4 linked regions of the Tamandua tetradactyla genome follow. The protein of the gene in region 1 interacts with the protein of each later gene in a pairwise test. Links are inferred from orthologs where the notes say so. Each region holds a gene or a part of one and is shown on either strand. Other genes may lie near its edges.

Region 1 (7,018 bases):
AGAGGGAGGGAACATGGGTCAGCTGTTTATAAGGGTCTTGTGGCTAGGCCTCTGTTCTTCCCATCCCCCCGTCCACCCTAGGCCAGGCTCACTGTCGGCGGTTGGTGCTCATGTCGACACAGACTGTGGGGACCTTGGAGGAACAGTGTTGGTGGAACTTGTAGCCACAGGTTTGGCAGCGGAAGCCATGGAACAGAAACTTAAGACAGAAGTCACAGAACGCCAGGCTGAAGAACGTCTTCCGTACCTGCTGCCACAAAGCAGGGAGGTTGAAGCCTGGTCAAGGACCCTCCCGCCACTCCCACAGCCTGCCCTCACTATCCACCCTACACTCACAAAATTGTGCATGGTCAGTGGGACGTCTTCGAGGACCTCAACAATGAGTTCCTCACCATCCAGGGGAGCAATGGCTGTGTCCCAGGCAGTGACTGTCTTTCGCCTACAGAGGGCATGGAAGGGAAAGAGTGGGAGGGTAGACAGGGCCATGGAGAGGCAGGAAACCTCCCAGAAGTCCCTCTAAGCCTGCCATACATAGAATAATATCTGGCATATTTAATTCTCATCACAGAAACCCTAGAAACTAGTTACCATCCTTGTCCCCATTTTATAGATGAAGAAACCAAGGCCCAGAGGGGGTAAAGTGACCTGCCCAAGTTCACAAGGGTAATGAGTGGTAGGAGAGTGTGAAGAGTCCATTTCTTAACCACGGGGTGAGACTCAAATAAGACTGTGAACAAAAGCTGAGAAAGGGTTGAAGAGACACTGAACCAACAGATATAAAGCAAAATGTGGAGAAAAAAGTAAGGAGCCCCCAAACAGAGGAATAAATAGGTCAGCAAAGCCCCATTCAGAAAAGTGGGGAAACTGAGGAAGGCCAGAACTGATGAATTAATGACATGGTGAATGAACAAAACAGCTGAACTCCAGGAGGTGGCAATGGAGCATGGTGAAGACTTGGGGACCAAGCAGTGAATGAGCTGTTGAACTCACAAGCCAATAAAATAGTGAAGTAATGATATAAAAGATGGATGAACTCGTGAATTAACTGAACTAATGGAAGTCCAAGGAAAGTGAATGGAAAACTCCATAGCAGAGTGAAAGGGGAGTCAGATGACTCTGAAGAGAGGATGGCAGGGAGGTTGGGTACCCAGTGGGTGGGTGTAGGAGTGCCACACTTACCCTTTGATGAGTCTGTAGACCACACAGCAATCCTGATTGAGACCCCGCACCTTGAGGGCCTTGTCTAGAGAGTCGTAGACACTCATGCCATCCCGGACAGTCACCTGCGTATGTGTGTGCATAGGTGGGGGGCCCCATCCCTCCACAAAGACCTCACCCTCATCCCTTGTCATCTTTTTGATCAAAGACTTACAATTGGGTCCATTCCCAACCCCTGCCAGCTTTGCCCCCATCAGACTCACCACTGTGCGTTGTTTGTTGGGCAGGTACACTTTGACGGTGCCTACTGCCCGGGACAGCTCAGCCCCGTTGGCAGGGGGGGCCCGTGGCGGCTCCATGGAGCCTAGGACTTTGTCAAGATGGGCTGAGGTGGGGCTGGGTGGGTGCCATGGGGCTCCTAGGGGAAGAGAGGCAGAGAAGGAATTCAGAGGTCCAATAATAGTAGTCTGGAAGCAAAGTAGCAGGGAACAAAATAAAATTCAATCTCCAGGCTCCACGTTGATCCAGCCCTTCCTCTGCTCAGACCTTGTTGCTTGTCTCACTCTTGAGCTCCAAGGTCTCAGATTTACTGTGTGGGGGTGGGGGTGGGGGTAGGGTGAGGGAGTGGAAGCAGCACACTGTACTGGAGGGCACAGGGTACACAAGACTCTGTGGCTCTCTTCTGGGGACTAAATGGGGAAGTCAGCACACGCTGTACTGTGGGAGTTAGGTACATCAAGGACATGAATAAACACTTTCTTGGCTTTTTAGTGGAGTTATCAGGTTCTGTGGTGAGGGAGGAGTGGGGAATAGAGGATAATCAGACACTGTCCTTAGTTTAGGGGGAATGTGGCTGTACCAGTTTTCTTAAAGGGTACCGTGGTTATCCTTAAGCACTGGGGGGGGGGGGGGGTGTAGTATTGATGGGAGGATCATAGGCCATAAGTTAGATGGATAATGGGAAGTAACCAGACTATGTAATGAGGAGTTCATATGGGGTCATCAGACACTGTGCGGAAGGGAGATGTAATCAGGGTCACTAGAAGCTGTAATGAGGAGACAGGTGGCAAATGGGGATCACCAGACATTGAGCTCAATGGGGTGGGGTGATGGTGGATATTCAGACATGGGTAAAAGAAAAGGAGGTGCAACATCAGACATTGTTTTCATGAGCTATATGGGAAGTAACGTCTCCAACATTCTCCCTGATAACTTAATGACGGGTCACAGATATAATATTGGTGTAAAGTGAAAAGGACTGATGGAAGGAATCCAAACGTGCTGGGGAGAATTAAGGATGGGTAGTGGAGAAATCCTGACATTGTCCGGTCAAACATTGATCCAGAATAAGGGAAGCGAGTAGGGAGGAGTCACATTTCCATGCACCGCCTGGAGTTGATAAGAATCATCAGACACTTTAGGATGGTTAAGAGGGAAATAGGAACACACCGCGCTTCAGCCCAGGACTGGGTCGGCCTTGCCCCGCCTACCGAGGGCCACCGGGCTCTGCGCAGGCGCGCTGACAAGGCGGGTGAAACCATCACCGGCAGCCAATTCCTGTCTATTACCCCCCCACCCCCGCTGTCCACGATGGTATCGCCCCAGGTCAAACCACTCCTCCGGTTCTGGGCGGGGGGCGCCAAGACCTAGGCACAGCCATCCTGGATCTGAGTTTTCGCTTCAGACTCCCTGCTCGTGCCCGGCGGCTGCTCGAGAAACCGAGTCTTGCCGGGCCCGCCCTCACCTGTCATGCCGCCACGGCTGCCGCCGCCTCCATCTTGAGCCTGTCTTCTTGCTTCCTCGCAGGGCCCGCCTCCACCCCCGCTTTGGCTTTCGCTATTGGCTCTACAGGACTCAGCCCCCCATGCTTATTGGGTTGAGATCATGCCTGTCAAGGCAGGACCGGCGGAATGTGGGTCGTGTTCCGGATTAGGAGGGTCTGTCTGAAACGTCATAGTCTATGGCAAATTCGCAGGTCCCGACTCGCGCAGGCGCAATCGGGGAGAGGTCTGAGCACTACGAAACTTTAACCCCAGTAATGCCGTGGCGGAATAAAGCTGGGTGTTTTTCGGTCACTTGGGGCTGACCTTGGGGGTTTCAGAATCTGGACGGGATGTCCTTAAGCGTCCTTTTCATGCCAATGACTGGGAGCCTTACGCACCCAATTGGGATTTTCTTGTTGTCTCAGTTTTTCCTTCTTTGAAATGGGTCGGAACCATACCAAATGATCTGCAGTGTTTTCCAGTTCTTGGAGGCTGCAATCATGGCCTTTGATAAGGCGGGTTTCGGGTGTGGGGTGGGGGCTGGCGCTAGGAGAGGCGGCCTGCTGTTCTGGGAGGCTTCCTTGAGGAACGGGGTCGATAAGAATTTTGAAAGATGAGACCGGCAGATGAAGAGGGCAGGGGAGTGTGGACCTGGAAGTATCGTAAGGGTAAATACAAATCTTAAATAAATAAAAGAATTGTCCCTGGTGCCAAAAGGGAAAGAGACACCCCATCCCTCATTCCCTTTTCTTAGAACTTTCTTTAAAAAACAAACACTTGTAATTGTAAACTTTTTCTCTGTCCCTTTGAGATATATGTAAATCTTTTTTTTTTTTTTTTAGCATGAGGCAGGCACCAAGAATCGAACCTGGGTCTCCAGCACAACAGGTAAGAACTCTGCCACTGAGCCACCATTGCCCACCCATGTAAGTCTTTTAAAAGCTAAATAAACCTTTTGCCACTTTACAACTCAGGGAGGCTTTTCTTGAGGGTCTTAGAGCCATCCATCTCTTTGAAATGTAAACATTAAGGAAGATAGCAGCCCTATCTCCAGGTCTCTATGCGAGTTTAGCCTAGGTGCCTGGCTCTAAGGTGTAACTACCTGCATGTCATAGAAATATGAGGTTTATTTTTTTCCTCTGTATATAGGCAATTAACTAACACAGATGGCCATCCCCAATTAATAGGTGAATTTAAGTTGAGCAATAGGAAGTGTATGCTGTCATATTTCCTTACCTGAGGATAAGTTATTATTTATCATGAAAACATGTAATGGGCTGTATCTGCTTGGCTATATAAAAGGGTGAAATTTCTTTCTCTTTGCAATCACTTTAGCAGATTTCTTGTGATGTGTATTGCAGTCTGATTTAATGCTTATTCATAAAACAACTGCTTCATTCTTTCTACCTTTGTGGAGGAGAGTCTTTGGGTTGGCAGATTTTAATTTTAATTATCCCCCCAACAGTATGAACTGCCTGCGGTATTTGAGATGACTGCCTTCTCCTGTTTGGAGCCTCAGCATCCCTCTACAATGAAATGAGATTAGGTCACTACGTAAGGGGCCTCAACATGCTTCAACTTTTATTCACTGAGTATCTTCTCTGTGTATAGGAAGAAAGACAGAAGTTCCACTTAGTTGGCTGTCATATCTGTTTCCCATTACCCCTTTTCCATTCAGATCTGCATCATTTAATAGCTAAAATTGAAAGGACTTTCAATACCACAAGTTGATGAGGATGTGGAACAACTTTCATACTTTGTTAGTGGGAAGGTAAAATGGTACAACTACTTTGGAAACATTTTGCCAGCTTCTTATTAACTTAAACATAGACCTGCTATACAGTCTGGCAATCTTACTTCTAGGTATTTACCCGAGAAAAATGAAAACACATGTCCAATGGTGTTTGGTAAGTGTTTAAAAACCAGCTCTCCGGAAAAAAAACTAATTTTTAGCAGTCGTCATTTTATATCATAAATACTCTCACCATGACTTATTTCAAATTATTAATATGACATCATCAAACCAAAGTTGGGAAGAGATGTGCAAAATCAACTCTGGAAAACTCACTGCACTGCCCCGCTGCAGGACATGACTCCCACGGTGTAAATGTCCCTGGCAATGTGTGACAGGACTCCAGGGATGAGCTGGGACCTGGCATCATGGGATTGAGAAAACCTTCTTAACCAAAAGGGGGAAGAGAGAAATAAGACAAAGTTTCAGTGGCTGAGAGATTTCAAACAGAGTTGAGAGGTTATCCTGGAGGTTATTCTTATGCATTCTGTAGACATCCCTTTTTAGTTTATCGTGTATTGGACTGGCTCGAGGGAAGTACTTGAAACTGTTGAACTGTGCTCCAGTAGCCTTGATTCTTTTTTTTTTTTTTACATTTTTTAAATTAATTTTTAAATTAAAAAAATATATAGCAATAAGCACAAACATTCTTATGATCATTCCGTTCTACATATATAATCAGTAATTCACAATATCATCACATAGTTGCATATTCATCATCGTGATCATTTATTAGAACATTTACATCAATTCAGAGAAAGAAATAAAAAGAAAACAAAAAAAATTCATATATACCATACCCCTTACCCCTCCCTTTCATTGATCACTAGCATTTCAATCTAAATTTATTTTAACATTTGTTCCCCGTATTATTATTTTTATGCTGTATATTTTACTTGTCTGTTGGTAAGGTAGGAAAAAGGAGCATCAGACCCAAGGTTTTCACAATCACACACTCACATTGTGAAAGCTATATCATTATACAATCGTCTTCAAGAAACATGGCTACTGGAACACAGCTCTACATTTTCAGGCACTTCCCTGCAGGCTCTCCAATATACCTTAACTTTTAGTTAAATTATTAAATAGGTGATACCTATTTAATGTGTAATAATAACCTCCAGGATAACCTCTCGACTCTGTTTGGAATCTCTCAGCCATTGACACTTTACTTTGTCTCATCTCACCCTTTCCTCCTCTGGTCGAGAAGGTTCTCTCAATCCCTTGATGCTGAGTCCCAGCTCATTCCAGGATTTCTGTCCCACGTTGCCAGGAAGGTACACACCCCTGGGAGTTATGTCCCATATAGACAGGGGGAGGGCAATGAGCTTGCTTGTTGTGTTGGCTGGAGAGAGAGGCCACATCTGAGCAACAAAAGAGGTTCTCTTGGGGGTGACTCTTAGGCCTAATTTTAAATAAGTAGCCTTGATTCTTGAGAATGATTGTATAACTATACAGCTTTTACATGGTGACTGTGTGAATTGTGAAAACCTTGGTTCTGATGCTCCTTTTATTCAGGGTATGGAGAGATGAGTAAAAAAATAGGATAAAAAAGTAAATAATGGGGGGAGGGGTTAAGGGTTATAGAAATTGGGTAGATTGAAATACAAGTGGTTAATGAGAGGATGGGGTAAGGGGTATGGGATATATGAGTTTTTCATTTTTCTTTTTCTGGAGTGATGCGAATCTAAAAATGATTAAGGTGAATGAATACATAATTATATGATGATACTGTGAGCCACTGATTGCTTACTGTGGATGGACAGTATGTGTGTGATGATTTCACAATAAAAATATTTTTAAAAATTTTTTATTAATTAAAAAATATTACAAGAAACACAAACATTCCCAACACATGCACTCAGCAATTCACAATATCATCACATAGTTGCATATTCATCATCATGATCATTTCGCAGAACATTAGCATCAATTCAGAAAAAGAAATAAAAAGACAACAGAAAAATAAAACAAACAGAAAAAAAGTTTACATACCATACCCCTTACCCCTCCCTTTCATTGATCACTAGCATTTCAAACTAAATTTATTCTAACATTTGTTCCCTCTATTATTTATTTTTATTCCATATGTTCTACACATCTGTTGACAAGGTAGATAAAAGGAGCATCAGACACAAGGTTTTCACAATCACACAGTCACATTGTGAAAGCTATATCATTATACAATCATCATCGAGAAACATGGCTACTGGAACACAGCTCTAAATTTTCAGGCACTTCCTTCCAGCCTCTCCATTACATCTTGAATAACAAGGTGATATCTACTTAATGCGTAAGAATAACC
Region 2 (7,616 bases), on another chromosome or scaffold:
AATTAAAAAAAAAAAAAGACATGAGACAGAAGAGATGCCCCATGGGATGAAAGAGATCATCTAGTGAAAGAATGGAAGTAGAGAAGTGATCTAGGCCTGAGTCCAGAGATCCTGCAATATCTGGAGTCCAGGAAGAGAACAGGAGAGAAGGCTTAGAAGGAATAATGGCTGAGGCCAAAGGAAAGCCATGAGAGTGAGCTGGTGTGGATGCAGGAGAAGGGCAGTGTTTCAAGGAAGACAGAGCCATCATCTGTGTCAATAACTGCTGAGAGATCAAATAGAATGAAGGCAGAGAAGTGTTCTTTGGATATGAAAAAAATGGTGCCATTTGTAAGTGTGGTTCAGTGGTGTGGAGAGGACAGAAAGCAGATGTGAGTGAGTATAAGTGTGAAAGGAAAATGAAGAAGTTAAATCTGAAGGTGGTTCTCATACACCCAAAGGGTAAGATTCTTCAAACTCTACCTCTCCAGCTTCCTGACCTCTCAAAAGTGTTCACTTCCTCCTCAGGCCACTGCCTTAATCTCAGTCATAGTCACTTCTCACCTACTCCTGGGTCCCCTTGGATCCTTCTTCTCCATGGCAGCCAGAAAGGAAACCCTATATCTGATCATGACACTCTCGTGTAGTAAAGCCTTCAATGGCTCCCCCCAATCCCCTGGGGATAACCTAAAGCCCTTGTGAGTTCCTCAGCCATCTGGCCCCTGTCTACCTCTGGTGTCTCGCTTTCTCTCTCTCAATCTCTCTCTTCTCTTGTTATTTACACTCCAGCCATTTTCTTGTACTGTCTTCTTTTATTTTCTCCCTGGGCCCTCATCTCTTTGTCCTCCAGGTTTTTGCAAGTCTCAGCTGACATATCATTTCCTAGAATGGTCTTCTTCGACTTCTCCTTTAGGTCAAGCCCTATTCCTTGCTCCTTCCACTTCATTGGAAGTGGCCTTTTTTCCCCTTCCTCACATAAGCAATAGAGAGACTGTTTCTCTGTTCACCTCTGCATCCCAGCACATGACACCTAATAGGCAGTTAGTAAATACCTGCATTCAATGAAACCAACTTCTCATTTGCATGGGAATTCTGAACCAGAATTTTTCTTAAATAGGCAAATATTCTAAGTGGTTTTAGAATGTTTAAGTAATGCAAGCTACTTTGGACATTCCATATAAGGATTTTTAAAAAATGACAGGTCAATAATTTCTCAGGACACAAGACCTACAGACTCAATTATTCTAAACTATTGCGACTTATCAACTGAATACAATGTACTCATCATGTGTTGTTTGTTAATCCATTTAATAAGTAACCTTTTGTTGAGGGAGAGATGAGTTAAATAATTCCTAATTCTATAGGAGCAATTAGTTATACACATATTAATTTGACTGCTTTCAATTCAGGCACAATTTCTTTTTTTTAAATCTGAGAGGAGAGGTGTTAGGAGTTTAACAACCATCCATTCTTTCCAACATTTTCAGGAAGTAAATGAACCCTGAAACAAGCCAACAGCAGGGGCACTCATTAACTTAATACTCTTTAATCTTGTGAATAGAATAGAAGCTGGAGCTCAATTCATTGAATCCCTGAGCTGCAGGCTTCCATCTCCAACCACCTGCAAAAGATCTCCACATGGGTGTTCTGTCTATGCCTCTAATTTAGAGATTTCCAGTTTGAACTCATTATCTTCCCCTGCAGAAACCTGCCCTCCTTGGGGGTTCACCATCTTGGCAGTGCACTGAACCCAGCCACACAGGCTGGAAGTCTCAGCAGTATCTTCCTGGCCCCTGCTCCCTGGGACCCCAAAGCTACCACATTTTCAGGCCTTTGCCCCAATCTCACAGCAGCTCCCCGACCCATTGCAGCCTCCATGAACTCTTTGATTCCTCAAGTCTCATTCCCACCTCCCAAAGCTCCCCTCTGTAATGTCTCCTGCCTGCACAATGGGAGGTGGATTAGAAAAACCCAGATATGGTCCTTCACCTTCTCAAAGCAAGAAAAACCCAAAAACCAAGCATTTCATTCACACCACAATAACTGTATTAGTTTGTTAAGCTGTCAGAATGCAATGTACCAGAAATGGAATGGCTTTTAAAAAAGGAATTTAATAAGTTACAAGTTTACGATTCTAAGGCCATAAATATGTCCTAATTAAGGCATACAGAGAAGGATATCTTGGCTCAAGGAAGGATGATCTAGATAGGTAAGTGGCTGGCATATGCTGGTCCTTATTCCCAGTTTCCTTGCTTCCAGCTTCTAATGAAAATGGTTTCCTTGCTAAGCGGCTGTGGGCATTCATTTAGGTGAATCAGTATTAAACTCTGAGTTTCATCTCTTAGCTTAACATCTGCCGGGGCTGGAGATATCTTCTCTCCAGCATCTGGCTATTTCTGAGTTCTTGTTTAGAGCCCAGGCTATTTCTGGCTCTATCTCCAAACGTTTAAATCCACTCTGAACTCTCTCCAAAATGTTTCCCTTTCTAAAGGTCTCAAGTAAACTAATCAAGATATACCTTGAATGGGTGGTGCCATATCTCCATCTAATCAAAATGTCACACCCACAATTGGATGTATCACATCTCCGTGGAGATAATCTAACAAAAAACTTCCGCCTTACAATATTGAATTGGGATTTAAAAATCCACGGCCCCCCACAAGATTGGATCAGTATTAAAACATGGCTTTTCTGGGGTGCATAATGTTTTCAAACCACAATAACCGATGATTACTGACCACCAGCCATGTGCAGATTCCATGCTCAGTGCTTTTCACACATTATTGCATTAAAGCCTTCCAAATAGCCTTCGGTCAAAGACCTAACTCCTTACCAAGATCTGGCCCTATCTACCTCTCTCACCTCATCCAAGCTTCTCCTTGGACTCCCAGGTGCCATTCTCAGTAGGCTTTCTGTTCCCAGGACACATGCCAAGCCTTTGCCCTGGCAGTTTCACTCTCCTAAAATGTTCTGTCCTTGGTCCTAGCTTGCTTGACTCTTTTTCATCATGTGAATCTGAGCAAATAGTTGATCAGAGGTTTTTACTTCTGCTATGGGTTGAATTGTATCCCTCTAGAAGACATGGTCAAGTCCTAACCCCACAGTGCCCTAATCCCGTATGACTGGTGTCCTTATAAGAAGAGGAGAAAAGAAGGCCACGTGAAGACGGAGGAGCGGAAACTGGAGTGATGGAGCCCCAGCCAAGGAATACCAAGGATAGTTGGTAAACAGGAGCTGGAAGAGGGGAGGAAGGACCCTCCCTTACAGGTTTCAAATGGAACAATGAGCCCTGCCAACACCTTGATCTGGACTTCTGGCCTCAAGAACTGAGAGACAATAAACTTCTGTTGTTTAAGCCATGTTTTCCTGGTACTTTGTTACAGCAGCTGAAGGAAACTAAGATGCCTTCCCTGATTGCCCTAAATAGGCCTCTCCTACAGTCACAGTATATTCACATTTAACCACCATTCATCATCATTTTGTTTCCTCTTCATCTCTCTCAAGAGAATGTAGGTGCCACTGGAACAAAGGCCACATGCAATTTATCCAGCACTGAGTTCCAGAGAACCACACAGCACCAGGCACTGAGCAGACCCTCAGGAAATATTTGTTAAAGAAAGAAAGGAATGTATTAAAGCCTGGGGCTACATGAGCAGCATCCCAGGGCTCTTCCCTCTAGTGCCTTTTCCTTGCAGCCACGGGCATTACCTTTCAAAGCATCCAGATCTGACAGTGCTAACCTCCCTGCCCAAGGCTTCCAGTGGTCATCATCAGAACTGGCATTTTTTGATGCCCCCTACTCTGTGCCGGGAACTGTGCTAAGGGCTTTAAAGTCATCATCTCATCCATGCTTCCCAACTACCCCACTAGGCTGCTCTGGAGGACTGCATTCTGACTTTTGTGGCCCCTAGTGACTTTCGTCTTCATAAAAACATACTGAAAATGTTATTTTACAACTGCCTTGGTAACTTTATGTGAATTATATCTATACAAATATAATCCAGACTGGAGTCATTATTGCAATACTTTTTTTTGTATGCTCTATGGTGGGGGTCACATTTCATTCTTTTTCCATGTGACTATTCCATTATTGCAGCACCATTTGTTTAATTTTTTTTTGGGGGGGGGGGAGGTTGGGTGGAAAGACCGGAACCCGGTCTTCTGCATGGCAGGCGGGAATTCTACCACTGAACTACCCTTGCTCCCACACCACAATATCCACTTTTCCTCCGATTTTAAAAGAAATTAAAATTAAAACATTTTTGTGGACCTAGACACTAAGACCGATGGATGTCAGCCCTGCTCTTGTGCCCAGTGTCAGCTAGGGAATCCCGCCCAAAGGCGAAGCCACGCCAGTCTGAGCCTAACGTAAAACTACCCAGAGGTAAAGTTCCGGCCAGGCCAAGCTCCCTGTTCAAAACTCGGATCTTTCCTTGGGCCCAGAAACGCCCTAAGCCGGCTATGGGAGGACGGAGCCAGCAGTGACCCTCAGCCCTTTGTCCCGGGGGCGGAAGCCCGCCGACTCCGCCTCCCTCTCCGGCCACACCCCCTCTTTCGACCACGCCTCCAGCCCGAGGCGAGGCGCGCGGCCGGGGGGGCGGGGCCGCGCGAGTGCCCGCCCGCTGGCCTGTCTCCGCCGCGCGCATGCGCCCTGCTTGAGCGCGCGCTCGCTGGAGACGATGGCGGGAGCCGCGTCAGGCGCCATCATGGATGAGGACTACTTCGGGAGCGCGGCCGAGTGGGGTGACGAGGCGGACGGTGGCCAGGTGAGGGGGGGCGCCGCGCGCCTCCCACGACGACTCTTGGTCTCCGTCGCCGGCGGTCCGGCTCCGCTGCCGCCGAGTGTGAGGCGCCAGGCCGCGCGTGCTCATCCCGTGGTTTAAGCACTGCCCGCCCCGCCCGCCACTTCGCCCCGTGCCCCGGGCTGGCGGGCGGGGCCTCCACGCTGCGCCGCGCCCCCCACTGGACCCCCCACTCAGCGGAGGGTTCGGCGGCGCGTCCTTTCTAGGCCTCCGTTTCCTCACTTTTAAAAAGATGGGGATGGGGGACCGAAGGGGCGGAACCTCCTCACGCTTCGTCCTGACTCACCGAGGGCGTCCCGGAACTCCTGCACTGTGGGCAGCCGGCTCCGAGCGAGGACCCTGGTCTCGGGCCCAGCGCTGCTGCTGCCAAGCGGGCGCCTCAGTTTCCCCAGAAGCCCAGTGAAGGGCTCTGGCTGGACAGGAACCGCTTACTTTCTTGTACCACGAGATGACCCGCTTAGTAGTCACTCTGAGCCAGGCCCAGTGCCAGGCCCTGTTATTTCCTAGACCCCCAAGGCGAGTAGGACACAAACTCAGGTGGAGGAATTAACATTGCAAAAAGCCAAGTCAGCAACATGGGAAAAAGGTAGAACTTTGGGCATATGTATAACCGTTCTGTAAACCACCATCATCTTTCCAGTGCTTTGAGTTCATTCTTGATCAGGGACTGATTGGCGTGGGAGCCAGGGAAGGACCATTTTTACCTCTCTGAGGGGGTATTGGAAAGCCCGAGCAAGGGGCTCTAGCTCAGCCAGTGTACCCCTACCGTATTCTAATATTAAGACCCACTGAGGTGCATGTTTGCTTCTTGGACCCCACCTCTGGAGACTGATACAGTCGATGTGGAGTGGAGCCTGGGAATTTGTCTTTTTGAACAAGAGTTAAGATTAGGTACGTTTGGGAAATACCGAACCAATGTTTTGAAGATAGAAATGGGGTTGCAAGGTGATGAGAGAAAGGTGTTGGAACCAAGGCACATAGATGTAAAGACGTAGGCCGTGTTCTTGGGACTGAAAGAAGTCCTGTGTGGTTGGTTGCCTCCTAGAGGGAGTGTCATGAGGTACAGTACAATAGAGAGCAGGTTCTGAAGGGCCTTTGAAAGTTTCTGAAAAGTGTGACTTGGTCACAAGTTTGGGCAGGGAGTGACTTGAGTGGATTTGTATGTGGGGTCATTCCACTAGTATTGGAGGATTATAGAGGTTGGTAGTCATGTTTAGCTAATTGAGAGCCTGTGCTAGGTACTTTCATGTGTTCACTCATTCCCCCCTCAAGGGTTTGAGTTGGGTATTACTCTACTCATTTTGTAAGTGAAGAAAGACTGTCCAACCTCACAAAACTGGTAAATGGAGGAACGGGGATCCAAACCCAGGTAGGTCTTTTGTCTCCTGACCACTTTATCAGACAGCTGACCACTGAAGTGGTCCAGATGAGAGAAATTTAGGGGTTTAATTGGTTTAATGGTGGGTTGGTAAGGGGCATCCTGTTCAAAATGTAGTACTTATCACATTGAGCCTACTAGTCATAGAGTGGGACCTATCTTAAGGGCCATCCAATCCAATGCTCTCATTTTATAAACTAGGTGCATGAGTTACCTGCCTTAGTTTACAGGTAGAAATAGTAGAAAAGCCAGGCCTGGACCCACTAGTGGGAGGTTGGGGAAGCTCATGCTTGGAAAACATTTATTGTGGTCCCAAACGTTTATTTGTGTCCCAAATATTGATCCTAGTGAACTTTTATTAATAAAGGTTGGGCCAGATACTCATTTCACATGCATTTCTAATTATGGTATGCTAGGAGGGGGGGGTGGGGGGAAGCCAGGGAGGTGGCAGAAGAGGTTTTGTAAGCAGATCTTTAAAGATAGTGCTAAAATTCTGTGTATTTTATGCCATACTTGGTGGCTTTGTGGCAGCAGCTGGATGTGTAAGGAAACTATATGAGGATATGTAAGGTAGAAGTAAGAATTATTTAGTGCAGATTGTTCATTCTGGCTGCAGGTTGCAAATGGGGATGAGACTAGACAGATGAGCAAGTGGAAAGGGCAAGGCCATGTTAAAGAGTTTGAATTTTTTTTTTCCCCTGAGAGGGAGATAGAAAACTTTAAGCTCGAGAGCAACAGCACATTTGTGGCTTAGGAAGATCACTGTGGTATCAACATAAAAGATGACCAAAAGAAGGAAATGAAACTTGAGGCATTAGGGGAATATTTGCTATTGCAGACATGCAAAACAAAGAAACCAAAAAGGTGAATAAGGGAAGAAGGGGCCAAATTGAATGCATTATGTTTGAGAGAGAATGGGTCCCTGTGTCAGGATGTGAGAATGGGGTGAGGAAAAAATTGAGGATGACTCCCAGGTTTCTGGCTTTTAGGTAACATTTACTAAGACATGGATTGTAGGAAGATGTGTTTTTAGAGAAAAGATGAAGTCAGTTTTGTCCTAATGAGTTTGGGTTACTCATTACATCCAAACAGAAATGAGAATAAATGGTTGAATGCTTGAGTCTGGAGCTCAAGAGAGAGGTCCAGGCTAAACTGTAGACTTTTGAGCAGGCCGGTGGCATGACCCTGGAGAAGATGTGGTAATAGAAGAAGAGGTCCAAGGTAGAGGCAGACCCATAAGGCCAACACTCTTGGTGAAGCTCTGGCTTTCACAGCCTGCCTCCAGGCCACTCACACAAATAGGATCTAGGAGGAGACTCCCCAGTCTCCACAGGGAAAGTATCATGCTCCATCTGCTCCCAAACGCCTCTTTCAGAAAGATCACTGACTTGCCTCAAATTAGCAGTCCTGTTAGTCTAGAGCAGGGGTGGGCAAACTTCTCTATAAAGGGCCAGATA
Region 3 (7,878 bases), on another chromosome or scaffold:
GAGCCAAGGGAGGGTTGTGAGCAGGGGAGGGGCAAGGTTAGCTCTGGGGGGGACAAAGCTTGAGCTGTGCCGGGCCAGTGGAACAGAGGCAAGGGGCAGGTGGATGAGAGAAGTAGAGACCCCTTTTTGTCCCCAGTCACCTCTCCTGGGGACTCCTGTATGCCAGGCCCTCTGCTGGGCGATGCTGGAAACCCCCCAAAAAATCTGGCTGGGGGGGCAATGCATCTGGTGAGGTGGGATTGGTGTGACATCAGAGGTAGCAGGACAGTGGGGCACGAGGGGAGGAGACACAGGGTGCGCTGGGAGGAGACTCCCAGGCCCAGAGGAGGTCGGGGGTGGGAGTGGGAGTGAGGGCACCCAAACCTGGCGCTGCGCCTCCAGATCCGCCTTGTTTCCGACCAGCACGACAGGGAAATCATCACGGTCCTTGACTCGGAGGATTTGCGTGAAGAGCTTGCTCACCTCGTTGAAACTGGGGGAGAAGCCAGAGGCGTGAGCCCCAGCCGGACCCTGGGCCCCGACCGACGCCCCCCACCACCCGCAGCCCCTCACCTCTGCCGGTCGTTAATGGCGAACACCAGCAGGAAGCCGTGGCCGGCACGCATGTACTGCTCCCGCATGGCGCCGAACTCCTCCTGGCCCGCAGTGTCCAGGACTGCAGAGACGAGGAGAGGGGCCACCGTGGGAATGGGCCTCACCCCGCTCCCCCTCCGTCACCTCCATATGCCCTGGTCCCCGCCATCCTCACTGTCCAGCCGGGCTGGGACGCCATCCACGGTGCAGATCTTTGTGTAGGAGTCCTCGATAGTTGGATCGTAGTCAGACACGAAGTAGGACTGGTGGGAGCGGGAGGGGGACTGTTACTGCAGCCCTGTCCCTGGGATCAGTCTGTCTGTGCCCCCCTCTCTCCCTGGGTTGCTGTCTACCCAGCCCCCTCTTTGGGCCTCTGTCCCTCTCTGTCTCTCTAGGGCTGTCTCCCTCTCTGGGTCTCTGTCCCTGCTCCCTGCCACGGTGTCTCTCCCCTCTTCTCTCTCAGAGCATCTCTTGGTCCTCTCCCTCTTTTTGGTATAAAACACAAGTACATCTCACATAGTGATCACTTCCTGGCTGTGTGACATTGAAGAAGTGACTTCCCTTCTCTGAGCCTCAGTTTCTTCATTTATAAAATATGGGTTAAGAATAGCCCTACACCTATTCCAGTGTTTGTAAGATTCCGGGCAAATTCCGGCTAAGTACATTGCCTGGCACGCAGTGAGCACAGTTACTGGGAGCCCTTGATGGCTGGAATCCCAGCCTGTCCTCGGCTCTTCCTCCCTCCACCCCCTCCTCCTCCGGCCTCCAGCACCTCCTCCCAGGGGAAGGTCTCGGTTCCAATCTGGCCGACGAGAAGCTGAGAAGCTGCCCCGCCTGCCTGCCGGCCCCTCCCTTCCTGCCTGGGTCCCACCCGCCTCCAGCTAGGCCTATGGCCAGCTCCAGGTCGGCCCCTGGGTGCAAAGGGCCTGGGGCTGAGGCCTTTCTCTGAGCAGGCAGGACCTCCCAGGCAGGGGCTCGCTGGGGTCTCATTAGGGGTCTGTGGGAGCATCTCGGGGCCAGACCCCTCTCTGGGGTTTCTCTGAGATGGTAAGGGAAGCCAGGACTTCCTGATGGAGTTTCAGGACACAAGGGGTGACGGGGCAGCTGGGGTCTGAGGTTACCCCTGTTGTCTGGGAGGGAGGCTGTGGGGCCGGGCTCCTGGTGGGGGGTATGAGGGACGTGCCTTCAGAGTGCATTAGGAGAGGCTGGGGTGAGGGCTGAGGGTTAGAGCTGGGGCAGAGCCTCCAGATTGCACATGGGTTTTGGGGAGATCTGTCAGTATTATAGGTGCACATCCAGAGAGTTTATCCAGTCCTGAAGGAGAACCTTCCAACCCCTTAATGTCTAGAGACATTAAGGCGCATCTGTAAGGTCAGAGAAACAACCAAGGAGCAGGTCTTTCTGGGGGTGTCAAGAATCTGGGGGTTTCTTCCTTAGAGAAGATTGGGGAGATATCTGGGGTACCTGAGAGGGGCTCAGGAAAGCGAGTGGAGGGAAACTCAAAATGGAGAAGTGGCTAGTTTTCTTGGGGCTGGAAGGGTGGGTTCTGGTCTGGTAGGATGGTGGAGCTCCAGGAATTAGGGTCATGGAGTTTTCTGGAATGGCCAAGGGGCATGATCCTTTTGAAACCTCTTGGGTCCGAGGGGAAAATTATTTCAAAGCAGGGGTTGGAAGGTTCTCCTTCAGGACTGGATGGTCCCCGAAGGTGCTCAGAGGCAAAGTCTGAGGTTAATTTCTAATTTCTGGGGGAGATCCCTGAAAGGGCTAAGAATCCCAACTAGAGGGAACTCTGTGGTATGGGCAAGGCATTCTCCCAACAAGGCTCCGGATGGGCCAGGGGGGAAATCCAGATCTGGGATTTGGGGGAGCCGGGGCTCTGGGAGTGGAGCTGAGCGGGAGGAGGAGAGAGGTGGCACCCAGTGTAGGGCTTAGGGTCCGAACTGGGAGGTTTTCATGAGTTTGGGGTACTCCCAGGAGGCGCTCAGAGCCAGGTCAGCAGGGAAGGGGGATCCTTGGGTGTCAGGGCGTTGTGGATCTCAGAATGCAATTTTAGGAGGAAGATCCCGCGTGCAGGGGGTGGAGGCCGGTTTTGGGGCTCAGGGTGCCCATCTGAGGGGATCTTGTGAGATTAGAGCACCTCATAGGAGTGTCTCAGGAATAAGTTCAGGGGAAATCGGGGTCTTAGGGTTCTCCCAAAGGGCTCAGTACTGGATCCCGGGGACACCGCTCAGGGTGAGGGCTCACTACCTGAATGAACTGGATGGTCAGCGCGCTCTTGCCCACGCCGCCGCCGCCCACGACCACCAGCTTGTGTGTCTCGCTGGGTGGGGGGTCCCCCGGGCCCGGCCCCCCGCCCCGGGGCCGCCCCCGCCCTGTCCCAGACGCCGCCCCGCTGCTCATGTCGCCACCGCTGTTGCCGCCGCTGCTACCGCCGCGGGGAGGGGGAGTGGCCGGGCGGGGCCAGGGGGCGGACTGCGTTAATGAGCCTACTGCATAACCATAAGTTCCAGCAACAAGAGCACTTGCACGGGGACACTTAAGGAGGAGCTGAGGCGGGGATATGCTAATGAGGGCGAGTCGCCCGCGGTCCAGGCCGAGGGGAATTCCGAAGGAGGTGGGGATACGCTAATGAGCGCATTTTGCTCCCGCCGAGCTGCGCCACGCGCTCTCGACCCGCGGGCCATCTGGGGGCGTGGATATGCTAATGTGCGCTCTAATTCTTCCTGCAGACGGGGCGGGAGGCTCGCTCGGGGCGGGGCCATGCAAATAGAGCCCCTGTGGTGCCATTCTTGCCTGCACTGTCCCGAGGCCTTATTCTGGCAGGCGGGGCTTGCCGACTAGCGCGCGGCCGTATATAGGCGCGCTCCGAGGAAGGAGCGGGTCCTAAGGGGAAGCTCCACCCCGTCCTGGGATCCTCGCCAAGTTCCCAACCCGAGCTGGATGCTGCAGTCTCCGCCCGCTAAGGGACCCAGGCTTCCGGTTCCCGCTGTCCCAGCCAAACGGAAGACAGACTGGGAGGAGAGATGGGGCCCTGGAGGGGGACAGTCCTGGAACGGGCCAGGGAGGGGCTGTGAGATCACTGCATTCCTAACGCATGAGCCAGCTCGCCCAGGCCGGGACGCCTGGGTCATGAGGAGCCAGGGGCCAGGATTTCTGGGTCCTGAAAGGGAAGGAAAATGAGGATCCAAACTTCTGGGTCCCTGGGAGAGGATGGAGCTGGAGACCTGGATTCCTGGGCCCCGAGGAGGAGGGGGATTGGGGATCCTTATTACTAGGTTCGGTAAAGGAGGGAGTTGGGGTCCCGGACTCTTCGGGTTGGAGAGACTGGTAGCCGGGAATTCTAGGTCTGAGGGAATTGGGATATAAGATGCGAGCAGAGAGACTAGGCATCCCCTGTCTAGGAGAGGAGGGACCTGAAAAGCCGACTCCTTGGTCTGAGGAAGGAGGGCTCGGACTTCAGAATCTGAGGGAGGAGGGAAATGGGAATCCTAACTCCTGTGCCCTGAATGAGAGGAGACCGTAGGGCCGAATAACTCGGTTCTAGAGGAAGCTGGGGGTTCTGAGTTCTAAGACTCCCGCAGAATGTGGGCGGAGCAACTCACAACCAGTCCAGTTTCTTCCCCTGCTCCCATGCCCACTTCGTGGAACTACAATTCCCTTGCATTAGTTCTGCAGCGCGCCTCTGGCGTCACTTCCTGTTGTCACCATTTCCGAGCGTGTGCAGGGCATTGTGGGGCCTCATCGAGGCTTACCGCAACCCCGCCCACTTCACCTCTCACCCGCTGGCTGTCCCCACGCGACGGAGGCAACGCGCCCGGACTACGCCTCCCGACGTGCGTCGCGCGCGCCCCCGCTCTTGTGCCCCATTGCCAGCCGGGAAATCGAGTCCATCCTCCATCCCACCAGCCTTCACGGCCCCGTGCTCGGTACTTGAAGTCCCGGCAAGCTCGGCGGCGCTTTCGTCCCGCCTCCTGTCTTCCACCTCTGCTCGCGAGCCCCGCCCCAGCCCGCCCCGCCCCGCGCCGGGGCCGGAGCCGCAGCCCGAGCGGCGGGGTAAGATGGCGGCGGCGGCTCGGGCCGCGGGGCTCGGGCCTATCGGGGTGGGCGGGGCGAAGTTGGGTCGCTAGTTGTCCCGGGGACCTCCCTACACGCCGCGGGGCCTGGAGGGTTTAGCGGGGCGGTCTCGGGCCCGGTAGCGGCGGCGGAGCCTGGCACCGAGGAGGGGGCCTTCTCAGAGCCCCGGGACGCAGCTCTGGGTGCTGGGTGGGGGTGTCTGCGAGACACCCCCAGCTTCTAAAACGTCTGGACCGAGACCGGGGCCTGCCCTCGATCACCTAGCTGGGCTGAGTTGTGTCTGTAGGCACTATAGGTCATCTCTATGGGCTGACCGGAGGCTAGGGTCTGTTTAGAGGGTCTGGGGCCATTTTGAGTTCTTGAGATATGTCCCTAGGGGTTAGGGACGTCTGTAGGAGCTGAGGATTATCTGAAGAGCCATCTAGAACGCCTGGGGTATGTCTTGATAAGACTGGGATGTGTCTACACGAGCTGGCCTGCAGATGCGACTCCTCTACATGGTGTGGAGCCATTTGGCGGCCCGGAAGAAGAGTTTTAAGAGCCAGGGGGTCATTGAAGGCCATCCAGAGGGGAGGGATGAGCCCACTAAGGGACAGAGTTAAATACAGAGATGTATTGAGAGGCCTGGACGGGTCTCCAAGGTCTGGAGAGGGTCCAATCTGAGTGACAGGAGGATGGGGGCAGTTAGAAGGGCCTGGAATCTAGGTGGCTTTTGATGTGACTGCAAAGGGGGCAGGGTGTGGTAATAGAAGAACCCGAGAGTACTTCTGCAAGAGGGCCACCTCTATGTCTGGATTAAATTCGAATGCCTTTTGGTACCAGAATAAGACAAAAGTAACTGTTGGAAATTTCGCCAAGCCCGCATTTACTTGTCCTTCAGAAAGTTATTTGAATTAAGAAAGATTTAAAATTCTGCATTGCCCTGGGGCAGTGGAGAAAGAGTTAAAATTAGTCTACATTTTTCTGGGAAGGTCCATAGTATCATTTAGATTCATGTGCTACAGTATTTTCAAACTGCTTTGACCTTGATGTACAAGTAAAAAATACATTTTTCCTTGAGACCCGGTCCAAACCTACATAAGTGTTTAACTAATACCAAAGTTACACAAAGTAATATTTCCACTTACCGCTTGTAGGTACTGTGAAGAGTTTCTAGTGTGTTCTACTTGTCTTTTCATAACAAGCTGTTCATGTACTGCTATCAGTACCTGTAATGTGGGAAACACTGATCTGGGGACCTACTTTGTCTTCAGGGCCACCTTTGCCTTCTGTCTAAAAGATCCAAGGAACCGTGGGTACTTCTGCCAAGCTTGGGGCATGAGTGAGGGTAGGGTGCATCTTCCTCCATTGCAGGGGGTTAGGTGATCTGTAAGTCGAATCAGCAAATCTTGATTGAGCTTCTGTTATGTGACAGTCATTGTTCTAAGTGCTTATGCTTCCCTGGAGGTTGCTGGAGAGTGACTTGTGGGCCAGAAACTGTCATGGGGGCTGAGGGCATTGACGATTATTGGCAGTTGATTATGGGGGAAGGTTTGGTGTTGGAAAGGGCCAGAGGCAAAGGATCAGTCAAAAACAAGTCTATCTCCGGTGGGCTTGCTGTAGGAACCAGGAAAGGGGCTGTAGTCTATTAGAGAGCTGGGAGGCTGAGTGGGAGCTTTGGGCTAGTTTGAAAATCTGCAGTGAGAGTGACACCAGAGCCCACGTCTTTTTTTTTCTTTTTTTTTTTTCTTTTTGCAGGTGCGTAGCCGGGGTCGGGGAGGTATAGGGGAAGGCCGGCCTTGAGGGCTAATGATGATATTTACTATTTCTTGATGTTGAGCCTTTGGGGAATGCTAACTGTCTTGCAGGGCTCAGTCTCTGTTAAAGTCTCACAACGATTCTCTGAGATTAGATGCCCCTATTTTTCCCATTTTACAGATGAGGAACTGAGTTGGGAGTTAGGGATTTGGAAGCTTCATGGGAATTTTGAGATTGGGTATTATTTTTAGACTGGCATATTTGACGGTCTTGGGGGAGCATACAGCTGAAGTAATCATATCTTCTGAACCCCTAATCAAGACCCTACCGCCAGTGTGAAGCCTGATCTTTCAACTGGCTGAGTGGGTAGTAGAATCCAAGAATTTATGCAACATGGCAAAGGCATCTGCATGCGACGGGTAGATAGGTGAATGCCTCCTGTGGGGTCTTGGGGACGGCATGCCTTTCTGAAGGTTAGTGTTTTTGCTTTAAAAGTGTGATGCTCATTTAGCAGACCACTCTGGTAATTCCATATGTACCATGCATACAAGGACATTTTCTTTGGTTCCTTGCCATCAAGGAAAGTTGCTGCTTTAGGAGGTCGTGTGGTGGTCAAGGCAAGCGCTGTGTGGACTTAAGCGATTGTGGAGCATACTACTTGAAATAACTCAACAGTGGGGTTGGGTTGGCCACCATGAGGTGGGGAACAAGATTGGGTTTGGGGGGAAGCCGAGGGAACTGGGAAAAGGGATGTTGACATAGGAGGCTGGATAGCTTCCCTTTGACAAAGGAGGGAGCTCAAATCTAGAAAGGGGAAGAAAATTGGTCTTGTCCCTCTGGTGTCTGCACTGTACCTGATACTTGCCCAAGGACAGGGAAGCTGGGAGGAGGCAAAGGAGGGAGGGCTACCCCGCGGACAGGATGCTGGTTGAGGCAGTGTCATGAGCCCATGAGGTCATCATGTCCAGCCCCTGCTCTCATCTACTCCAGTCTCCATCCCAAACTCTCATCCCCTTGGCCACCAGGTGACCATGGAGGAGGAAGATGAGTCTCGAGGGAAGACGGAGGAGTCGGGGGAGGATCGAGGTGATGGCCCGCCAGACAGAGACCCCACGCTTTCTCCTTCTGCCTTTATCCTGGTGAGGCTGCTGGATGCCTGTGTCTGAGAGAGAAGTGGGGCTGGGAGTCCCACTTCCAGAGCCCCAGTTCCTGGGCCCTAATAGGAAGGAGGGGTTGGGGACCTGGACTCTTGGCCCCAGTGTCTAGAATGATTGTCCTCCAAAAGGCAGAAGCTGGGAGCCATTTGCACGAGTCCTCTGACTCCCCTTCCTGCCTTTTTCCTCAGCGGGCCATTCAGCAGGCTGTGGGAAGTTCCCTGCAAGGGGATCTGCCGAATGATAAAGGTATGATGGGCTTGGTTACTTCTAGCCCCCTGATCCATCACTGCATTCCTTATCCTGATTTCATCGTATAACTTTCCCTTGTGCTCGCACT
Region 4 (7,472 bases), on another chromosome or scaffold:
AGAGGGACAACCAGGCCTTGCACCAGCAGGCTGCAGGCTCATTTAGATGCCCATCCTGGCCAGTCCTCCGGCAGGAAAGCCTGTGTTCTAATGCCATCAGAGACTGTGCCACCTGGCATCCTCCCTGACACATACTCTAGATCTGCAAATCTTGGGTGTGGGAGGACTGGGTAATTAAGGAAAAGAGTCACAGGGCCTGTCCCATACCTACAACTGACCCAGAACAGGACTGGGGAGATGGAATCTGAGTGAGGCAGGTGCAAGTAGCTGACTGTACCAAGGTGGCTAAGTTGAGACTGAATGCAGGAAAAGAGAGGACACGGGGGTATGGCAGCCCCAACAGGCCCACTATCAGGTTCTAGGCTTCCCTCCTTAAGGTGGGGAATCAACCAACAGAAGCACAGTTGAAGAGGAGTGACTAGGGGAGCAAAAGCTCTAGAAAACACTACCTACAAGGAAACTGAAAGAATGTGAGAGGGGTAGCCCAGGGAAGCTGATATCTAGGGGATGACCAGGTGACTAGGCTGGAATGCCTCAAGGACTAGCACAATGAAAAGGAACAGCTTTGCTTGATGAGGGACCCATGGGCAGAAGCCACAAGGGAGTAGATTTCAGCTCAAAACAGGGAGGACTTTTCTAGCCATTAAAGCTGACAGAAAGAGCTACTCTGTGAGGTAGAGTTCCCTACCCCTAAGCATGTCAAGCCACAACCAGTACACTCATTCCCAGAGATTCTGAGAGGACTAAGCATACAGGGGCTTTGCAGCCCCAAAGGCCTTGGACACGGAACGTCCACCACTCAGATGCTACTGACAGTGTGGGCAACTTCCTATTCTTACCCCTCCCTTCTGCTAACAAGCCTGACTTTTCAGACTTCTCCTAACTATCTGCTTGTTCATCCTAAGTCACTCACCAGGAGCACCTCTCCACCCAGCCGGTGTAACTGATAGGGTGAACCATGGGGTAGCAGCATGAGGCTATGGTTGGCAAGAAACTGGATCCCATTGCCGAGGCACCTCTAATTGAGGGAGAAAAGAAAAAGATCCATTACACATGAGGGTGACTAGGAAGTAAGTATGTCACAGGAAAAGAGCAAAGGTCATCTGACAATCATTGGCTAATTTTTATTGCACGTCTGCTAAGTACTGGGCCCTCCTCGATCTTTACAATGTCTGAGGAGCCAGTGGGGTCTGGTGGAAAGAAAAAACATTGAGTCGTCAGCTGCAGGGCTGTATCTACCCTTCTGTTTCTGAATCTAGGGAAAAACAGATGGGTCCAAGAAATGCCAAGCTATGGGAGAAAGAAGGCTAAATTTATGAGTCCAGTTTTAATCTCAGTCTGAAAGTGAGAATGCTGAGCCTTGACACTGGTGGCAGGCAGTTTTCTCTCACCAGCTCACCTCCACTTCTGTCTGCCTCTGAAGAATAAAGACCTGGGTTTTCAGAGGCAACACAGGCCTCTGAAAACACAGGCCCCAGGCACAGCCCTGAAATAAACCTCAATGCCCTGGTGAAGGGCTAAACCACAAGCAAGGCATTGTAAGTGAGTCACTCTGGGCAAAGACCCAGCTAATCTCATGAGAAAGACAATTTCGTTTTCTACCAAGTGATAAACTTTGGGGGAAGGAACCCTCTGGGTCCTATTCAATACTGAACTCAGTGCAAAGACTGGCATACTGGTGTCAAACGAACCAACAGAACTGTTCTTTCATTTCCATATTTCTGGGGCTTTTGGTCTCTGTTCTCTGACTCCTAAGTCTAGGAAACCCAAGCAACATCTGCAATTTATACAGATGCCACTATTTTCTACAGCTATATGAAAATAACTCTTGGGAGTTTGAATAACATGTTTTATTTCTCAATGCGCCTATCCCCATCAATTCCAGAGCCACTGACCTCAACCACAGTCTGAAACAGAAGGGAATGGCCATCGGATCAGGGAGAGAAACAGTTTATCAGGATCAAACCTAAGCTGACTCCCTCTGGGTCTTAGGCCCAAATCCAAACATGTAAATTTATCCTCTAAATCCTGACTCAAAAAGACAAGCAGCCAAAGACTGCTGAGTATCACGGGGAAACTCCTCTTAACATTTGACTCGGGAGTCAGACTGACTTGGGCTTTGGATCAGATCAACCACCCATTAGTTCTGGTACTGTGGGCAGGTCGCTTAACCTCTCTGAGTTTCCCGTTTCCTAATCGGTGAAATAGGGACAAACAGCAACGACGTGAAGTGCTAATTTTTTGAGTACGCTTTACGCGCTCTGACACTCAACCGCCCTACGACCCAGTTGCTTAAATCTCAAAACTGCCATGTGAGGGACGAGAGGCGATGCAGGAAATGCTCTCTGTAGATGACCTGGCATATAAACGAGCCATGATTGTCCCTGGCTTTTGCCTTCCCCTCGCTAGGTTTTCTCCACAGGCCACCTGCGGCCACCAATCACTTGCCCGTACACGTGGGGTGTAAGTAAGAGTTGAGGGGCAATCCACTCCTCGCCGGGCTCCACGCCTCGCCGTCCCTGGCCCGGCGTGCTCGGATCCCCGCCCTCAGGCCTCGCTCCGGGCCCTCCGCCCAGACCTCAGCTGACCCAACCCCAAGCCTCTCGTCTTCGCCCAGGGAAAGGCTTCGGGCCCGGAGCCCCCTAGGTCCGCCTTGTCGGCCCCGCAAGCCCGCTCACCCGCGGACACCGGCACCAGCCACCCCGTAGCGCCGCCGCCGCCATGTTGGATGAGCCCGTGCGACCTTCCGTCGGCGCGGCTCGATTGCGTCATCCGCGGCGGCCACCTGGCGCGGCCGGGGCCAGAGACGGAAGGCACTGGGGAGGGCGGGGTCTCAGCGAGGGAAGGGCCTTTGATTGGGTGGGAGAACAGAGGGAAGAGCGAGGTCGGCGATTGGGAGGGGCTACAGAGTCTAGCGGCGGGGCGGGGCTTTATAGAGGGCGGGAAATTCTGGAAGAGGTAGGCCTCTGATAGGGCCTTCTTCCGAAGAGCGAGGCCATGGATGGATGTGCTGCGGGAGGCGGGCACTCCCATGAGGCGGAGGCCTATGATTGGGCGAAAGGACGAAGGGGCGGAGCTTGTGGCGTGGATTCGGTCTGGAGCCACGATTCTCGCACGTATAGCTCAGAATTCTGGTGGCCCGAGGGAGAGGTCCGAGGACGGTGTCTGGTGGATTCTAACTGACTGTGACGAAATGACCGACGGACCAGCCTGATAGTGACTGACTGTGGCTCACTGACAATGCCTGACTGACTGACAGACAGAGCGCCTGAGAGGCCTGACTGGTTGGCTCACTGCTGCCTCTGGCTGACTCCCTGAATGGACAGATTGACAGACTGCCTGCCAAAAACTTTCTCAGTGATCGGTTGTCTGACTGACTCGGACCCTGAATGGCCATGTGACTGCTTCAATCACTGATCCTGACTGCAGTGATTGAAGGTTCTGGCTGACCTTTGCCTGACAGTGCCTGGATTGAACCGACTTTACTCATCACCGATTGGCCAACTCATGTCCAACCTACCATCTTGCTTGTCCGACTGGAGGGCTGATCACCACTGAGGCTCCTATCGGCTGACTGATGAATTGACAATTAGGATCTCTGATTGGCGAATAATCACTACCACCACCACCCAAGACTCCCAGGGAAGGGCTGACTGGCTGGTTAGACCAGCTGACACTGAGGATGGGTTCCGACTGACTGATTTGACAGTAACTGCCAGAATTGGCCTGGCCGAGAGTGTCAGCTCTCGCAGGGGGTTCCCTGGCTGTTGGTTGGGAACAAGCCCCAGGAAGTGCCTTTCAGCCTTTGTGAGTAGGCAAGAAAATGGCACGTGTGTTTCTCCAAAAGCAAGAGCGAATGAGCCCACTCTTTTTTTTTTATTTTTAAAATTTTTTAATGCCAAAAAACACCAAACAAATGCAAACATTCTTAGCTTTTGATCATTCCATTCTACATCTATAATCAGTAATTCACAATATCATCACATAGTTGCATATTCATCATCATGATCATTTCTTGGAACATTTGCATCTATTCAGAAAAAGAAATAAAAAGAAAACAGCAAAAATGTATGCATACCATACCCCTTACCCCTCCCTTTCATTGATCACTAGCATTTCAAACTAAATTTATTTTAACATTTGCTACCCCTATTATTTATTTTTATTCCATTTGTTTTACTCGTCTGTTGACAAGGTAGATAAAAGGAGCATCAGACACAAGGTTTTCACAATCACACAGTCACATAGTGAAAGCTATATCATTATACAATCATCATCAAGAAACATGGCTACTGGAACACAGCTCTACGTTTTCAGGCAGTTCCCTCCAGCCTCTCCATTACCTCTTGACTAACAAGGTGATATCTACTTAATGTGTAAGAATAACCTTCAGGATAACCTCTCGACTCTGTTTGGAATCTCTCAGCCATTGACACTTTGTCCCATTTCACCCTTCTCCCTTTTGGTCGAGAAGGTTTTCTCCATCCTTTGATGCTGGGTCTCAGCTCATTCTAGGATTTCTGTCCCACGTTGCCAGGAAGTTCCACACCCCTAGGAGTCGTGTCCCACGTAGACAGGGGGAGGGTGGTGAGATTGCTTGTTGTGTTGGCTGGAGAGAGAGACCACATCTGAGCAAAAAAAGAGGTTCTCTTGGGGGTCACTCTTAGGCCTACTTTTAAGTAGGCTTAGCCTATCCTTTGTGGGGTTAAGCTTCATATGAACAAACCCCAAACTGGGGGCTCAGCCTATAGCTTTGGTTGTCCACACTGCTTGTGAGAATATCAAGAATTCAACTTGGGGAAGCTGAATTTTCCTCCTTTCTCACCATTCTCCAAAGGGAATTTTGCAAATTCTTTTTTATTCACTGTTCAAATCAGTCTGGAATTTATTGGGGCATCACTCTGGACAAACTCACAAAATCTCATGTCCTACTCAAGGTTCCATGTACTTACAGTGTTCAATTAAGCTGTCTACATAAGTTATATTAGGAAATGCACTAGTCAAAATTTAAATTTTGTACCAAATAAACATTTTTTGCTTTAGTGTCACACATAAGTTGAAATTTTAAAATATTAATTACCATCTATTTTCAGCACCCTGTAGTAATGACTTTCCTTTGTTCTTCCTCATGCAAAAACATTTTTTAAATTAGTACATTTAGTCACTATCATTATACACTCTAGGCATTCCTAGATTATACCATCTCAGTCTTTATCGTCTATTTCCCTTTCTGATTTGAATGAGCCACTCTTCAACAGCACTTCCAAAAGGAGCCTGTTGGTTGAGGTTTCCACTTTGGGAAGTGAAAGCTGAGACCAGTTTTGGTGTGGGCCACTCTTCCACCAAGTCAGTATGAATTGACACAAGTTTGCCCTGAAGAAGCCCAGGCCTTTGTCATTTCAGCACTCAGACACTATTTTCATTAGAGAATGCCACCACCAAGCAGAAGTACTTGGAGAAGACCATGTAATCTGAAACTCAGCTTGGTGGGAGAGAGAGGAGTTGTTTATCCTGTGGTGGAGTTAATATATGTTGCATTTGCTGTACTGTTAAAGCCTTTTGATTATAAAACTGTGATATGAGCTTATGGGACTTCGCTCTTTGAAGAGGAGGGAGGCAGCTTGGCACTGGGGAACATGCGTTTTCTTGCTTCAGCATTGGACAGACCTGTGTTCCCTGTCCCTCAGGAGCTCCACCCCAGGAGGGAGTAAAGGATGAGGGCTTCCACTCTGGCGTTGTTCAAGATGTCTGTGGAACCTCCAAGAGAAGTATACTCAAGTGATTGGGTTATACTGGTTTGTTGCTGAGAAGAAGATCTGAGCTAGAAATATGGCTACTTTGTTGTGGTTATAACTGTGGAGTTGAACAAGAATGCCCAGGAAACTGTGTCAAAGGGGCATGCCAAAGGCCAAAGGCAAAAAGGAAGAAGAGCCTTAGAGGGTGTTTTGGTTTGCTAAACGCTGCCAGAATTCAATGTATCAGAAATGGAAATGACTTTTAAAAAGGGAATGTATTAAGTTATAAGTTTACAGTTGTAAAGTCACAAAACTGTCCAAACTAAGGCATCCAGAGAGAGATAACGACTCAAGAAAAGCCAATGTCTTGTCTGTCATATAGAAAGGTACATGGCTGGTGTCTGCTGGTCCTTCTTCCTGGTTCCATTGCTCCCAGCTTCTGATGCCAGTGGTTTCCTCTCTAAGCATCTGTGGGCCTTCACTTAGCTCCTCTGGGACACAACTCTGGGTTCTGGCTTGCTTAAAATCTCATGGGAAGGTACATGGCGGCATTTGCTGGGCTCTGCATCTCCAAACATACACGTCTAGACATCTTGCTCTCTCTGTTGGTACTCCAGGCATCTCTAAATATCTGCCTCTCTGTCAGCACTGGTCTCTTTCCAAAATGTTTCCCCTTTTAAAGACTCCAGTAAACTAAGACACACCTTATATGGATGGAGTCACAGCTCCATCTAGGCAAAAGGTCACACCCACAATTGAATGGATTACATCTCCACGGAACAACCTAATCAAGATATTCCACCCTACAATATTGAATCATGATTAAAGAACATGGCTTTTCTGGGGTACACAACAATTTCAAACTGGCACAAAGGGAGACTGGGCAAGAAGTAGGAAGAGTACCCGGGGGGCTTTTGAGAAGGCAGGTGGAGTCCGCAGTGCTGAATGTTGCAGAGAGCTCAGGCAAGGCAAGAACAGAATTGCATCCATTGTCCTTTACAGAACTGTGTCTGCGATATGGGGGTCCCTGATGAGATGAGCAAGAAGGGCTTTGGTGGAGGGTTGTGGGTGGAAGTCAGGTTTCAGTAGGTTGAGATTTTTACAGAGATGTGCTGGAGCCAGCTTGTACCAGCTCATGAGAGCCAGTTGTTAAATGTTCAGGAATTGTGGAGCCACTTGTTAAAAATATCCATTACTTAGAAAATAGGTGTATAAATTTATGGTAAGAAATATTATATTAAAACAGTGGTAATAAGTACTCAAAACTCACCACTTTCTAATTATTTACTACATGCTACTATTATCTATGTTCTTTGAGGTCATTGAAATCTATCATGTCTGTATGGTGGAAATATTATAGGATGGCGTGCAGTGGCATCTCTTCCCAATTCCACGTTCAATGATGTCACATTGTAACCTGAAATTGGGTTGTGGTGGCAGTATGTATACCACATAAATTGGTAAACGCTACAAATCAGGTCCTTTCTTGGTTGGTTGGTTGGTTTGGAGAGCCAGTTGATAAACATTTACCAGCACAGCCCTGGGCAGTGATCAAAGACTCCACCAAAGAATCTTTGCTGTACATAAAGGCGAGGATGGCAGCTGGAGCACATATGCGGATGACGGAGGGGGAGTTTCTTTGCTTTTCCCAACTTTTTATTCTGAAAAATTTCAAAACTTACAAAAAAGTTGCAAGAATTGTGAAATGCATACTCGTATACCCTTCACTTAGATTCA

Evidence for each region.
Region 2: the proteins of ARAF (region 1) and NELFCD interact in binary tests that used the Homo sapiens proteins (3 or more experiments, as listed by UniProt). The link is inferred for Tamandua tetradactyla from reciprocal best matches to the Homo sapiens genes ARAF and NELFCD.
Region 3: the proteins of ARAF (region 1) and RRAS interact in a two-hybrid assay, tested with the Homo sapiens proteins (2 studies listed by BioGRID). The link is inferred for Tamandua tetradactyla from reciprocal best matches to the Homo sapiens genes ARAF and RRAS.
Region 4: the proteins of ARAF (region 1) and TIMM44 interact in binary tests that used the Homo sapiens proteins (3 or more experiments, as listed by UniProt). The link is inferred for Tamandua tetradactyla from reciprocal best matches to the Homo sapiens genes ARAF and TIMM44.

The regions. Positions count from the first base shown.
Region 1 is NC_135353.1:122,565,369-122,572,386, forward strand, and holds the start of ARAF (serine/threonine-protein kinase A-Raf), read right to left. Parts: upstream 3,012-7,018; 5' UTR 2,910-3,011; coding exon 2,903-2,909; intron 1,577-2,902; coding exon 1,422-1,576; intron 1,284-1,421; coding exon 1,180-1,283; intron 440-1,179; coding exon 337-439; intron 248-336; coding exon 93-247; intron 1-92. UniProt on the Homo sapiens protein: Involved in the transduction of mitogenic signals from the cell membrane to the nucleus. May also regulate the TOR signaling cascade. Phosphorylates PFKFB2.
Region 2 is NC_135327.1:26,323,371-26,330,986, reverse strand, and holds the start of NELFCD (negative elongation factor C/D), read left to right. Parts: upstream 1-4,604; 5' UTR 4,605-4,658; coding exon 4,659-4,745; intron 4,746-4,962; exon of another isoform or gene 4,963-5,672; intron 5,673-7,616. UniProt on the Homo sapiens protein: Essential component of the NELF complex, a complex that negatively regulates the elongation of transcription by RNA polymerase II.
Region 3 is NC_135342.1:11,509,295-11,517,172, reverse strand, and holds the start of RRAS (ras-related protein R-Ras), read right to left. Parts: upstream 3,006-7,878; 5' UTR 2,974-3,005; coding exon 2,821-2,973; intron 837-2,820; coding exon 749-836; intron 656-748; coding exon 553-655; intron 473-552; coding exon 364-472; intron 1-363. Other genes in the region: SCAF1 (splicing factor, arginine/serine-rich 19), read left to right, coding at 7,416-7,523, 7,730-7,787. UniProt on the Homo sapiens protein: GTP-binding protein with GTPase activity, likely involved in the regulation of MAPK signaling pathway and thereby controlling multiple cellular processes. Regulates the organization of the actin cytoskeleton.
Region 4 is NC_135337.1:84,342,741-84,350,212, forward strand, and holds the start of TIMM44 (mitochondrial import inner membrane translocase subunit TIM44), read right to left. Parts: upstream 3,018-7,472; 5' UTR 2,724-3,017; coding exon 2,679-2,723; intron 1,019-2,678; coding exon 914-1,018; intron 1-913. UniProt on the Homo sapiens protein: Essential component of the PAM complex, a complex required for the translocation of transit peptide-containing proteins from the inner membrane into the mitochondrial matrix in an ATP-dependent manner.